2 linked regions of the Lepisosteus oculatus genome follow. The protein of the gene in region 1 purifies or fractionates together with the protein of each later gene. This does not show direct contact. Links are inferred from orthologs where the notes say so. Each region holds a gene or a part of one and is shown on either strand. Other genes may lie near its edges.

The links.
Region 2: the proteins of itga2.2 (region 1) and integrin beta-1 purify together in Homo sapiens (co-immunoprecipitation; 3 studies listed by BioGRID and IntAct, with this or other methods). This does not show direct contact. The link is inferred for Lepisosteus oculatus from reciprocal best matches to the Homo sapiens genes ITGA2 and ITGB1.

The regions. Positions count from the first base shown.
Region 1 is NC_090698.1:38,755,788-38,763,584, forward strand, and holds the start of itga2.2 (integrin alpha-2), read right to left. Parts: upstream 3,416-7,797; 5' UTR 3,263-3,415; coding exon 3,214-3,262; intron 1-3,213. UniProt on the Homo sapiens protein: Integrin alpha-2/beta-1 is a receptor for laminin, collagen, collagen C-propeptides, fibronectin and E-cadherin. It recognizes the proline-hydroxylated sequence G-F-P-G-E-R in collagen.
Region 2 is NC_090701.1:39,147,174-39,155,187, forward strand, and holds the start of integrin beta-1, read left to right. Parts: upstream 1-4,571; 5' UTR 4,572-4,927; coding exon 4,928-4,939; intron 4,940-5,197; exon of another isoform or gene 5,198-5,292; intron 5,293-8,014.

The DNA of each region.
Region 1 (7,797 bases):
GGCAACAAACAATTCGAATCGAGAGGTGAGATCGTGGTCAATGAGAGGAAGGAAGGTCGAAATCCAAGACAGACACCGGAGGCAAACAATCCAAGTCGAGAGGCGAGATCGTGGGCAAAGGGAGAAGGTAGGTTGAAATTCAGGACAAACACAGGTGGCAAACAATCTGTATCAAGAGGCGAGGTAAGAAGTCAAAAGGCAAAAGGGGTAGTCCAAAATCCAGAGTGACACAAGGTTTAGGAATCGCCAGGTAGAGCTCTCAGGGACTTAACTCAATACCGAGCAGCAGAAAGCATGTTAGTATGGTTTAAATAGTACTGCTCAGTAGAGTATATGCTGATGGATTAACACGTGCGGCGGCGCTTGTTATTATTATTAACCCGCTGCTGGTACTGGTTAGTTCTTTTGCGAGATGATCTCCGCTGGCTGGTGGTCGTGACACGGAGTTTATACAGATGGTGCTTGAATGATGACAAGCCGACACAGCGATGTAGTTGCACGAATTAGAGAGTTTGCTCCAGATATGAAGTAGACGCACTGCAGCACCCACTGCGAAGCCTTGGCCGTCAAGAAAATGCCAGAGGATTTGAAATCTGTTAAACTCTGTTGTAAATTGTATCAAGGCTCGACCAATGAATTCACATCTGCTTTGCTCGACTAAACAGGCTCACTCCTCTCGCTGAAATGGTGCTTTTTTATCATTTATTTTTAATTATTATTGTTCCTGTTGTCATTTTGTAAAGCACTTTAAGAAGCCACCTTTAAAGGCACTATAATCAAATAAATTTTATTATTATAATATTTATTATATGTGTGCATGAGTGTGTGTGCGCGTGCACGCTTATGTTGGTCATTGAGAATTTCTGGGGTTCCTATGAGAAGATGACTTGTAGGTGGTACTTGGATGCTTTGGTTTGATCAGGGGTTGTACTTGGTCCAAAAAGTTTCAGAACAACTGTCCTATGCTATTTAATCTTTGCTGACTGCCCAGTCTTTCTCACACCCAAAGAAGGCTCCACAGCCGCAACATTGTGTTTTCTTTCTTCTCTTTTCAGTATGAAAGTATTAAAGTATTACTTGATCTTTTACATATACAGTATGCAAGTCAGAAATTCAATAGGCAAACATCTTAGCATTTCTATTTATTAACATTCCCAGGCAAAAAATATGCAAGGATATACAGTAACTTATAGCCTCGCACTGAAGTTTATACAGATACATATACATAGAGTATATGTACTCATAATGCTGTTATTAACTATATAAATGCACTTAGCATGTGTGTTTAGCATATTACACCAAAAACAAAAAAATGATATTACAGGCAACTGAGAGCATATTAACACGATCTCATTTATTCTCTGCCAGAAAGGAGAGGTTGTTAAGTGTAGGTGTCCTCTCTTTTTATTAAATAGTAGCTCAATTAATTGATTTACAAATATCTGTAACCACAAAGTGTAAAATAGACAATTTCTTCATGAATGTGACATTTTACATTTCAGCTTAGATTGCTTTAGCCAAACCTTAAATTGTTATGATAATTTAATTAATTTCATTATATCATTGGTTTCTTTGTTGCTTTTTCATGTTAAATTTCATGTTTTATTTTTTATATGCACAGCTACTGTATATAAAATAACTGCTGATGTGAAATCTTATCTTTATAAGCTGCCATAGTATCACTGATGTCTGATTTGTACATTTATTTGATTATAGCAATATAGCATTGCTAGAATGGTTCTGTGGGTCCATATCTTTCACAGCTTTTGTCGGTTAGTGAACAGATTAACATAAAATTATACAACTTCCCAGTCGGCAAGCTTGTCCCCTATTCATATCAACATCTCATTCGTACAAAATTCGTACAAAACTTCTAAAGTATCAGTTAATAAATTGTGCATGCGTGTGACTCTGATACAGTAGTAGAATAAAGTGCTCATCTTTAGCCTAACTAGGCTCCTGACATCCCATGAATGAGTATTAACAAGAGTTTGCAATAAACTGATGCACAAAGGAAGGAAGTTAGGACTAAGTGCTCATATACAGTCTTATAAACATAAACTGCCCTATATAGGATTTAAGGCAGTCAGTCTTACACATACAGTAAATGATTACAGTCAGACTGTTATATTATAACTTAAATTCCAAATTTATTACAAGAGGCACACCCTATCCCCGTGCCCGTACTCAGATATAGCTTCTCTGACATAAATGTTGGTAACTTCAGTGTTGTGCTAAAGTTAAACCCATTACTGAAGTCAGATCTCTTGGTGTTATTTTAACACTGTATTGTCATTCAAAGCTCATGTCAGAAACAGTACATCACAAGTGTATTGTTTTTCAAAATAAATTCTGAATTTAGGGTGATCTACAATGCATAATGGGTAATAATAGCTGGAACTGCAGTTCCTGGTTTACATAGCCTAGAAACAAAATCTACATAGAACCTTAATTGAACCATGAATACCAAATATCTTCACAACAGTCTTTCTAATGAAACTTCTGTACTTTTAATTTGGATCATTAAAAAGACTTTAGGCTAGCTAGACTTTGCCTCTGTTCTGAATTTGGCCATGATACCAGATTTAACCCATTTATTATTGCAAACAATACTTTAAGAACCTTTGTTTACATAGCATGGATTCCCGTGTAATGCATTCAAACAGAATCTCCTGCCCTTCACAGTACTCTTATCACATTTCAGGATTTATCTTGCAAACTGGTTTGCTAGCAAGCCAACTCAGAAGCAACACATCAATTAAAATATTGTGCCCATCATTTAAATGATATATTAAAAACTCAAATTACTTCAAAATATACCATACCCTTATAAAATGTCTAATGCCACAATTATGTTTTTAGATATGATGGCTTTGACAGTTAAATTCACTATAGACATTAATGTATCAAACGACGAATAAATTAACAGTATACATTCACTATTGATACATTTACTGCACATATGCGTCAAATCTTTAAACAGACTAACATAGCCAAGGGCAAACACATCTGTCTGCAGATTCTGCAGATGTACTGAGGCTTAAATATTAACTACCAGTTTTGTGAAACTTTATTCTGTTCAAGTCATGGATGTATGTTCGTTAAACAAAAGTCTGTCGTATTAAAATCTACAGTATAACGCGCTGTATCATTTCACCTTTTAAAGTATTATACCATAAGAAAATGTAGAAACACGTATAAAACTTGACTTACTCAAAATTATCTGAAGAATTAATAGAATGTTTCTCCTGATTAAATCCATTTCTATAACAGCAACACTCCACAAAGTGAACAAAGAAGAATCTCTGGAAAATATCAGGAAATCCAAATAGCTCAAGTGGTCGTAGCGCGTTTCCTTGCTCTATTCTTAAGCAGACTGAACTCTAACAAACTTCTTGAAGGTTCATAAACTTTAGTTGCATGTTTTCCGCTTTAGTGAGGGGGTGTGTTTTTCCTCAAAACCTAACGTCACCAACAAAGTACCACCTTGCCGATAAAGTGCTTGGACTGTGGTTACAGCAGCATTTTTTTCGACAGTTTCAAGGAGTGGTCATTCAGTTTTAAAGACGGTCGGAATCTGTCTTTTACCTGACATATAAACTAACAATTGACAAATATTTGTAGGTGGGACAAACGTATTTGTTCTATACTGCGTTATTTGTAAACTGTAATACCTAACCTTTACATAAAAATAATAAAACGAGTGCCTTGTTATATTTGTTTAGACTTTCTTAAACAGTATGGGGCTTTAAATAACATTGAAATCCTGAAGAGTAGAATGCAAAACGGTTGTTTTGAAAGATATAGAAGTATCCATTTAATACTTTTAATTTTCAGAGCAAACATCGATCTTTTATCTCAGTTATGAATTACTTGCAAAAATGGAGGTAAAACATAGGCATAAACACTTTGTACAAATATATTCTTGTTAAATGTCAGAAGAAAACCGTCAAAGCTATTGACTTTACATCTGGTAGTCCCTAATGATCAGCTATATTTTAAGGTGGGTAGCTGCGTCTGCAAAGGAACAAGTAATAGGTTTATTCCAAGCTGAAAAGAGAAGAGAGAAAACACAGCTATATTTCAATAATACTTTGAATACCAAGAAGAAAAAGTAAAACAAAAAGTATAGCACAGCTATAAGCTATAAGAGTATACAACAGCTGGACACAGAGCGAGACGAATGAATTGTTTTAGGGATCAGAGAAATATTCGAACTACTCTCCAAGATAAAAAATTAGCATGAAGAGTTCCTGCAAAATGGTTAGAGACAACCGGATGAGATTAACTGAAACGAGATGTTTGAGAAAAAAGTCTTAGTAAGGACATCATCTAACAATAGATTCTAAAACGCTGAAGAAGACTGCATATGTATGTACTGTTTGTATATGGCTATTAACTGCAAATTACTGTACACCAATTCATAGAATTACAAAATGTGTAAAAACATAAAACTAAAGAGGACCTCCCAGAATGAAGACTTTATATAGGTTTAGGGGAATATATTGAATGTTCTTTTGAGTAATAATACAAGTTTAATCGTTTCTGAATAATTGTAACAGCAATCAACATAATTGGCTGTTGTAATATATGGGAAATCCAAAAGATTAAAACAACTTTCTGATATTATTAATACATGAGAAGTTTCCCTTGTAATTTATTATTTGTATCAATCGAAAAATTGTGCTTAAATACAATAATTAGATTACCTTAAGATGGAAGGAGTTGCTTTTTTCTTTACAACATACTAAATTGCTTTTACATTCCATAACAAGTAAATCATTTCAAATTATTAATAGAGCTGAAACATATGCACATTAAAGAAAAAGAAATGGATGGCGATAATGGAAATTAAATTATGTAGAACTGATCAATTGTATAAACCTGTCCGATTTGATTTTTGCAGTTGTTTTTACATTTATAGTATTGTATACCTCATGTCTTTTTTAAAGGAATGCACAGTGTGTTCTTGCATGAAGGCCTCAAGCCTTGTGAGCCACAGTCTGTTGTGTGATGCGTGTTAATACAAGTTTAAAAATACTGATTACTGAGTATAGTGGATCAGCAAACCTAAGGTTGTGTGGGTGGGATAGGAATGTTCATGACTGAGACAATTTAGGAATTAAACACAACCAATGCCAATACCAATCATTATGGGTGAAACAGCCCATATTAATCAATACAGTAATTAATATAAGAAAAAGAAGTTTACATATATATAAATAGATCAGAGAAAGTACTTTTTTACACATTCTGGCTTTGTGTTTAAGCATTTAATTAACATACTACAGCAAATACATAGGAAAGGTAACATACTGTATGATTGGAGGCCCTTTGGCCTCTCTGTCCAATTTGGTTGATAGTAGTTCATTGATCCCACCCAGCCATTTTTTGAAAGAAACCAGGGTATTGGCTTCAACTACTGCACATGGCTAGGTAGCTTATTCTCCCACGACTCTATGGGTAGAGAAGTGTCTCCCTTTTTCAGTTTTAAATGGACTTCCATGTAGTTTGCGTCACGATCCGGTTCTTTCCGGGCATTATGTGGACGACATGATCCGGAATTGTGAGGATACAATAGGGAAAATAGTCATGCAGGAAAAGGGTCAGGAGACGGGGGGTGTGTCCGAGGAGTGCAGGTGTCCAGGGGGAGTGAATCCAGGGCAATGTTTGTAATTTGCTATTACAGAAAACATAAATTTACAGCCATGCTTGAAAAATATACTTACTTTAATATTATAGTTTTTGCTGCCTGCCTGTGGTTACATATGTGTCATCCAGAAGTGATTTGTAATTACCACACCTTATCCTGACTATGCTCTGTAATGTGAAATTTTCTTATGTCCTTTGAATCCAGTGTAGTGCATACAAGGCAAGATACAGTGTTTTGTAAAGTATACAGACCAAACCCTTCCTATGGTGTCCCATTTTGTGAAATTACAAAACTACAGACAAAATTTGAAACTTAATTTTTTTAATATCATTTCAGGTTTCAGACCTGGAAAATTCTAAGGGTAAGATAAGTTACAGTAATGTTTAGCAAAACTAAAGTGAGAAATACTGGAATATGTTGACTGTGTTAAATATTCAGACCACTGAACTCAATATATGGTAGAAGCACCTTTGGCAGCAATTATGGCTGAATATCAGTTTTTGGCCATTTTTTGCAGATTTGCTTAAGCTCTCACAAGTTGCTTGGAGATTACTCATGGACAGCAGCTTTTATATCTGTTCATAGATTCAAAGATTCTCAATAAGTTTCACATTGGGTCTTTGAGTGGGCCACTCTATTGTTCTTTGGATCATTATTCAGCTGAAAGATGATTTTTTGTCTTAGTTTTAGGTCTGAAGCACATTTTCCTTTAAGATAGCAATATATTGCTCCATTTAAAGTATGTACACATTAGCTTTGATAAGCTACCCAGTATCTCCAGATGAGAAGCAGAACTACACTATAACGTAATACTTCCACCACCATGTTTGACTAAATGGAATAGTTTTAACTGAGCAATGTTGTGTTTGTGTCAAATGTAACACTTTGCATTTAGACCAAATTTTCTCATCTTTTGTTGGACCACAAAACCTTTACATGCTTTGTTGCAAACTCCAAATGGGATTTAAGATGCGTTTTCCTCTCTGTCATTCAATACAGATTTTTGGAGTGACCTGGGTATTGTCTCATGCACATTTTCTCATATATAAACCATTGAACTCTGTACTGTAGGTCTATCAAAGTCACCATTTGTATTGCAGTTGCATCATTAACCAGTTTTCACCTTGCCTGGCTGCTCAATTTGGAGGGACAGTCAGATCTAGAAAGACCTTGAAATATTTTTATTCCCTTCTCCTGATCTGTTCATATCTACAACTTTATCTCTAAGTTTATTTGAAAGCTTCTTAGTCTTCATGGTTAAATCTTTGCTTTAAATTGATTGTGTGGCACATTAAGTTAATTTATTGCACCTTAATGGAGGTTTGCCACAGAAAAGGGGTTGAATTTTCCATTTACCTATTCCTTTTGTATTATTTATTTACTTCTTGATTATTATTTTTTTTTGCTCTGAATTTGGGGGCAGCAGCAGTAAGCATTGCTGGTTCATAGTGTAAGGGGTCTGGGTTCAGTTTCTAGGGCACTACCTGCGTAGAGTTTCCATGTTCAACCTGTTTTTACCTATGTTTGCTCTGGGTGCTTCAGTTTCCTTCCACAGTTCAAAGACATGTTGGTATGTTAATTGGCTTCTGTAAAGAATTGGTCCAGGTGGAGCATGAGTGTGATTGTGTCTATGTGTGCCCTGTGATTTATTCGTGTCCCATCCAGGGTGTAGCTGATTTTTGTAGACTGCGCCTCCATAATCCTGAATTAGATCAATGGTTATTGAAATTGATGTTATTTAATTAATTGCTCTGAATTTTTGCAAGATGTTATGTGTATAAAAGTATTAATTGCTACTTTAGTAATAAAGGGAAATAATGATTGGAAATATTGTTATAGCTATAGGTGACTAGGAAGTGTCTATAAGAGTTTAGAAAGTTTGTGACACCTGGCAGTGAAAACACTTTTGGCTACAAAGCAAAGGGGATGTTTGCCAAGATGTGGGGTCCCCTGATTAAAAGCAATTGTAAAGTTTACCTTGGTATACCTGGCTAATTAAGTCATGGGTTAATGATTGTCAGTGAGCAGTACACCAAATAAAATAACATTAAGACCACAAAGTGGGACAACAAGAGGAGTAGAGATGAAAAAAGCAGGAAAGGTAGACAAGAGAAAGAGGAGGAGAGGAGAGAAAGAAGGTCAGA
Region 2 (8,014 bases), on another chromosome or scaffold:
ACATCTTTCATGTCCTACTGTGAGTTCTAAAGCCCTAATTACTGTATGTCTGTTATTTATCTTTCCCTTCAATCATGTTACCTTGTTGAACATCTATTCTACTCATTCTGCAACTTGAGCGGAGCTGTAATTCTTATTTTCTTATTTCAAAAGGTTGTGTACTAACATTTGGTGTTAATATTACTCAGTCTCTACATAGAGAAATCTATGTATTTTACCTCTTCACTATAAAAAGGGTCAGAAAATGCCATTCATGGTTAAATTAAGTGGAAACGTAACAGTATCACATGTGCTTGGATGAACAAAATAATATATATTGATGGAAAAAAGAAACGCAACATTTTGTGGAATGAGAATACTAAAGTTATAGTTTATGTACTTTCACAAAAAGGTGTCAATTTGTTTTAAGCCCTCTGACCAGCAATACAGCTTGTGCAGTGAGGCGTTGCAACTTGCCAATCACACAAAAGCTCGTTAGGAGTATTTTTACCCAACGAGGTCCACGTGGAACAATGCCTGATCAGGTCACCTTGAAAAAGGCATTAATTCAAAGCTTAGGTCACTGCAAGAAAAAGGCCACACTTAGTCAGTTTTCTGTGCATTCAATAAAGCCTCGAATGTCACCAGAAGCAAGGGAGAGGGCCATTGGCATGCTGCAGGCAGGCATGTCATGTGCCAGCGTTGCCAGACACCATGGAGTAAGCCGCTCCACTGTGTCCCGACTGCAGAGAAGGTTTCAGCAGACCAGGAGGACAGATGACAGTCCAAGACCTGGTCGCCCTCGAGTGACCACGCCAGAGCAGGACCGATACATCAGACTGGTCCATCTGAGAGATTGTTTCAGATCTGCAAACCGTACTGCTGCTGAAACTGCCGGCAGACACAATGCCCGCATCAATGACAGGGCAGTGAGGCTCCATGCTGCTTAGATCAAGGCAACCTGTCAGAGGCCCTCCGCTCACACCTCCTAGACATCACACCCGACTGGCTTGGGCCAGACAGAGGCTGCAACGGACTTGTCAGCAGCGGCATCAGGTCCTCTTCATGGATGAGCCACTCTTCAGTCTGTTCCACGCAGACGGGAGGGCCAGAGTGTAGAGGAGGAGGTGTTGCATTTCTTTTTTCCATCAGTATATAGTTCTCTACTCTTAATTATCTGTACTGCACAATTTGAGTAAGCTACAGAGCCAGCATCTGAAATTCGTATTTTTCCGAGGTATGTTTTATACATGTGTAATATTGTGAAATGCCAATGTGTCTCCAATGTCAAGAGAAAACAAGGTACTATCCAAAAACTGCTCAGAGCAATAAACTATAATAATCTTATAAAAGCTTCTTCAACCTTCACTAGTAGAATTCAGGTGGGAGCTAAAGCTGTCTCATCAGACTATACTAATAGAATTCAGATAGCAGCTAGAAGTACTTCATCGGACCACACCAATGGAATCCAGCTGTACTGCAGCTGCTTTATCTGACAGCACAGTTAGAATTTGACAGAATTAGGGTAAGGTAAATAAACACAGCCCAGGTAGTCAAAGAACAGTTAACCTGGGCAACAAATGAACCACAGAAGACAAAAATAAAATGTAAACCACATGTAATATTACAAAAATGACATAACCAGATGTGGAATCATCATTATCATCAGCATTAAATTCCAGAAAAGTTCTGGTTTGTTGCTACTGATTACTTTTTAATGTTTTGCAACATGTGAAGTTGTGTTTGTAATGAGAAGAAAGGGATTCATTTGTGATGACATGCAACTCCTGTCACACTGACTTTGTGCCAGTTGTAAATAAGCAATGGAGACAATATACAGTAGTCTAGAAGGGTCAAACTGATCATAATGTGTTTTGAAGCATGCAATTGATTTCCACCCAAATTATATCACTATTAAAGTGTTCACACAAGAAAATGTTATTTGCTTGAAGATAATTCCATGCTAGCATGCTTCATACTAACAAGGGGGGCATCTATGATGTCCTGAGAGCTTGAAGTAAAAGTGTTAGGAAATACATCTGTACTGTATTACAAAAGCACAAAGAATTTGGTTTTAGGGGAGGAACAGAGGAATGAGACTGAGAACAGCAATTCAAAAGTATGTGCAGAACAAATAAAAGATTAGTCCACACTGATGAGTAGAAAGAAGAAACACAACATTTCAGCAGTTGAGCCTTCTCCAGCCTTCTCCTTCACACATGAAGAAGGCGAAACATGAAGATGAACCATTGTGTTTTGTCTGAATTAGTTCACTAACTAGAACTGAATTGAGATTACTGACATAATTGAGGAAAACTGGGGCTCCAAATACTGATCCCTGAGGTACTCCAATTGGAGCATTTACCAATTAGCTCTAATCTCTGTTTCCTGCCTATTCACCAGTTCTTACTCAAAGTACATGCATTACCTTGAATCTTTGTCATATGCAATTTAAGAATTTATCTTTTATGATCGTTTTCGACAACCTTCTGAAATTACAAATGGATGATACCATAAGCTCAGTTTCTATCCATTATTGCTGTTGCGCTTCATAAGAAAGGGTTTCTAAGAAAGCAACATCTTGTAAGTTAGTCTTTTGCATTCTGGAGAATGGACAATTTTCACCAGACTAAAAAAAAAGGTTGCTATATAAACAATTATGGGCGAGGCAGAAGTAGGAAGAACAAAGATATCAACATCAAATATCTCATTTTAAAGGAAACAGTGAAGAGGGATTTTTAAGATATGAATTGCAATTGAAACTTAAGATAAAGAATCACAACATTTCTAGAATGAGAACTGTTATACAAGTAGGTCAAAATGGAAAAACAAAATGCCTTAATGTTTACACTTCTTAGTTCCAAGAGTATACAGTATGAATGGAGAAATCTATTGTACTATGCTGGGTATAGAGTATACACTACAATATAGATGTTCTAAAGTTCATGTCTTGGGTTCTTTTCCCGGTGAATAAATAAGAAACACACTGACATACACAGTAAAGGAACAAGTAAAGGTTTATTCCACGCTGAAAAGAGAAGAAAAGAAACACAACAAAGCACTGCAAAAGGTAAAACGTATCACAATTTGTGACACTGTTTTGACTTACGAGAGTACGAGTAAAACATATTGTAACCAGAATAAATGAATATGGTTTTGGAGTCTTTTTTTTCTCTTTATGGAAGAATTGCTGCTTGCTAACATGATCTTATAAGATTTCAAAAGCGAAGCAGGGTTGGGTTTGCTCAGTATTAGGATGGAAAACGACCTCTAGGGAACAAAAGGACACTCATAGCCCGGTGGGCAGTTCTGTTCCTTGAGCAACAGAATTTCCTATCCAATGCTTCTGTGTGGCCACTGTGCTGAAGGAAGTATCATCCTTAGGGAGAGATGTTAAACTGAGCTCCTGACTTCTTGATCATTAAAGATCAAATGGCACACTGAGTGAGACTTCTTCATCAGCTGTGTAGTGGGACTGCTAACACATAATGGCTGCCATGAGTCAACATGAGCACTGCACTGCAGTGGTAGATGAAACTCTCCTCTCTCATCCTAGCGTTAATCCCGCATCAGCAGGGTCCGCTTGTTGGCACCCCTGTCTCCATTTGGTGGTTTGAACCTAATCTTTGAGCTGACGTTGCCGTTAAATGCGACCGAGAATACTCCAACCGGCGCGTCGCTCTGCCTGCCGTCAGAGGGGGGAGGAGAACAAAGTAATGTAGCCAATTCATAGAGGGGGATTATTAGGAGACATGGGGAATTTGGCCAGGACGCCGGGGTTACACCCCTACTCTTCTCGAGAAACACCCTGGGATTTTTAATGACCACAGAGAGTAAGGACCTCGGTTTTACATCTCAACCGAAAGACGGCGCTTATTTACAGTATAGTGTCCCCGTCACTATACTGGGGCATTAGGACCCATATGGACTGCAGGGTGAGCGCCCCCTGCTGGCCTCGCAGTGGTAGATTAAACTGTTGCCCTCAAATATGTAAACATAGATAATACTTTATTAATCCCATAGGAAAATTGATGAAATTGATTAAACATACTCTTTTGGGAAAAAACACATACAAAAGTAAGGAGTTCTTATTAGAAAACGTGTTTGCTTTGAATTACAACAAAACCTATATTTCCAAGAATATTAAGAAGTGCAAGATTGGTATACAGCATGGTGTGTCATATTCCGATTGATCACTCTCACTGTTGCTTTATCTTTTATTTGTTGCTTTATTGGTTTGGAGGACCAAGAAAAATCGCAAAAAATACCCAATGCAGAGTGATTAAATAAAGAAGTTAACATAATACAATAACAGATACAACACTAGGCACAGCAATTTATACGGTAACCGGATAGTGAATCTATTATTTTCACTTCATATTTTCAATCAGAATCATACCATAATGATGTAAGAGCAACTGAACTGAGGTTATGCGCATTTACAGCTACAATGAAATGCAGAATTTTGGCTGTTACATGCGCGTACCCAGATTTCCGAGTTTTCCCAAGGACAAACCTAGCGGAGCTCATAGCGAATGCGTACAGGTCGAGCTTGTCCAACGATGACGTGTTCGGTATTTCCTGTGGGGGCGGGTCGAAATACAGAGGATGGCCTCCTCTCTTTCTTGTAATCGTGGGAGGGGGTTAGCACGGCTTTAAGGTCATTTTTCATCGTGTGGGGATTTTGTAACTTTTTTAAAAAATACAGTTTTCTTAATAACCAGATCGTGTTGTTGGGCGTAGGTAAAGAGTCTTTTCGTCTGAAGGGTGTAAAATGGAATAAGAAGACAAAGGGGACACATTTTTTGTTTGTTTGAGAAAAGTAGAGAACTAAAGCTTGTTTTTTTGTAGTAAAGGGGAGAGATCAGCTGGATATTTTTGAAAGAAGTGCGAAGGACCATCGATTCCACATATGCTGCATTAAAAACGAATGGTTTAGGTTCGTTCAATGCGTTTTAAGGTAAGGAGGTGTCAATGTCTGCTTAAAGTGCTTGTATGGATATGAGTTTTCGTCTTGTAAACTCGTAAGCCAGTGATGCATACCTGGTGTGTTATATACATATTTGCCGTGTGAATGAAAATGTCATGGTGGGTTTTATGCGGGGCTTTGTGTTGAACTCGGGCGCATGTCTGCACAAATCTTCTTGCCCTGAAGTCCTGGAATGTGATTTGTATATTTTGCGGTGGGGGTGGGCGGGTGGAAGAGCCGTAAACGCCGATTCTACGGTGGTTAAAAGTATTGTGGGATAAAACTGTGTCGTTAGTGCAATATTGCAGCTTTCCCCCCTGTGTTGTATCGACTGTCTGTATGGGGTGAGTACATCCGCTATCCGGTATCGGGGAGGCGCTGGCCCGGGCCCGCATTCCCGGCGGAGAACAGCAGGGAGAGACCAAGTCTTTCTTCGGGAGCCGATCCCCGGATAACGCCACAAAAAAAAAAAAAAGACGACAGACTGGCTTCTCGCCTCGATTCACTTCATGTTTGTAAACCCCATCAAGTGTTTTCCGCGAAGTATACGAATGAAAGATCTTGACCTGCCCTGCAGTAATAAGTTTCCAGAGGGAAACTGGGATGTGTGTTTTACATTTGCCCCTATGGACAGGGTTTTCTTTTTTTCCCCTCAAACTTGTGAAATGTCCTTTTACAGGCGTTGCTTGTTTCCCCCTCTTTTTGCGAATACATCTCGAATTAGTAAATGGTTGAAATGCAGCGTTTTACTACGTTTTTACGCGTTTTTTCTGAAAGTAATAGCCTCTGGCTACAGCTAATTTAGGGAGTGCCTCGTTAGCCAGCAACAGTGCTCCGATTGAGGTTTGAGCTTAGCTCTGCGGCTATTTTTTCAAACCTCTTATTTAGGCGATGCCAGGCGGCTGGGAGAGCACAAAGGAGATGGCGCGTCCGGACGGCCCAAGGAGCAGGCTCTCGAGTTATTCTTGGCACTTAAAGCACTGACAAATAAGGCGAGCTGACTGTTCCGGGGGGGAAAAACACTCTCGGGAACGTACCCGTTTGAGGATACTCGAACGTGGCATTTTCGGTTTTTAATTTTAAGGGAGCGTTAGACGGAGAGGCTGGATTTTTGTATCCCACGTTTAACTCGACGCTCGGAATTTTCTGCCTTAAAAAAAGTAGAAACGCTCGCCGTAAAAGTGGTTAGATCTCACCTTTTTTATTTCGGCAGACTGACCTCATTGCGAAAACAAACGCGGTGGTTAGGAAGACATGCGGCTTAGTTAGACCACTTCCTTATCGCTGGGGTCTCAGGATCAGGGGTTTCAGTAGCTCTAAACTTCTTACTGTAGTCTTGCTGTATGTAGCACCGGTTTTGCTCCATAGAAGTCTGACCATGTGGTCAATTTTCACTTTCTCCATACCACTCAGTTAAGCTTTGTCTTCCTGAAGTTGAGGTGGAATGATCTTTGCCTTATCAGATGTGCAGAATACACATAAACCAAAGATACTTTAGTTATTTTGGTTTACTGTAAAAAAACTTTGGAACAATGACTGCCTGGGTCTTTGGCCTTAGAGGTGTAATGTCCATTGTATATACGCTTCAAAAATGGGCTCTCTTGTTTTTAAATATGACACTTTTTTCATGTTTCTGAACTCGGTATTTAATTAGGTGTTATAATATGTAATTTATCATGGCACATAGAAACACCTGGTAATCATTTAGGTAGTAGGCCGAAGATCTTCTCACTCCTGACCATAATTTGTTTTGTAATCTGGAAGCCATTTGGCCCCTCTTGCTTGTTTGGTAGTGAGTAGCTAATTTATGTGAGGGTTCTTGATATTGGCTTTAAAAGCCCGACAGGGTAGCTTTTTTTAGACTCTCACAAGCCTTGTTGTCTTATGCTGCAACATGGCCTTTCTCACAGGTTAAATTGTGTTGTTTCTGTCGTTGTTTAAATTATATACATAAGCACTGTACACTGTCGGTGTAATTCCCGACAGGATAAACTGCCGCACCGTGGCTAAGGTATTGATGTCTTTTTCCCAGCAGTTGGTTGGTTAACGAGAGTACCCGGTGATCACCTCAGGGCTAACATATTTGGGCGCCGGATGCTTGTGGTTGCAGCCACTGTGCATGAAACTGTGCCAGGCTAGGTGTGCCCCCTTGCTTATTCATTTCCAAAGTACAGCATAGCTCAAGGGTGTGTTACTCTATATGTTGCAGTAAGGCGCATCTGTAAATGATTAGCAGAACTGCGAGCTACAAGCATTTATCAAGTATCTGCAGTGCTATTTCCGAATATAAATATTGTCGCCATGTGGTTATCTTTCTCAGGAGAACATAAATAATTCATATGCTGTAGGAACAGTCATTTTCCGCAATACATTTTTTGTCCTCTGCGTCCAGACTGATATTTAGTCATATCCTAGTCCGCCTTGTTTACTGTTTGAGTGAAAGATTGAATTTATTTCCTCTTTAATGTTTATTATATATTTTTTCGGCTGACTTCTTTAAATGAAACTATTAAAAGGCAGTCTTCTGTTTTACCATTTTTGACACAATATCTTGAAGGGCATTGGTTGTCGTGAGACAGACTTTTCATAGTGCCTTTAACACAGTGAAGAAAGCAGACATTTCTTATGTTTATCTTTTGATTAGAAAGAAGGATTTAGGGGACTATGAAAGGTTATGATTTCTGTAGTAAGAAATGGAATGGTATGTGATCATTTGCAACCAAACGATGAAACTGAAAAAAAAAAGTGAGTCGTACAATTTATGGAGTTACAGGACGGTCCCCAAGGGATTTGTGTGGGGTTAGACGACACAATAAATCTAGCTTCTGTCCTCATCCTAGCTCTGGTTATCCATTTCTTTTCAGGAATTTCTGTAGTTCTTGTCTGGGCCTTTAATCTAATCTTGTTCTCCTTTAAGACTGATACCACTGTCTGAGTGAATCAAAGCCACTGAATCACAACGCACTAGATAAGGGCAGTATCAAAAAAGGTTTCAGACGAATCGGTGTGAATAATTGATCATTCTTTACATGACATTGGGCGGAAATGGCTTTGTTGAAAGAAAGG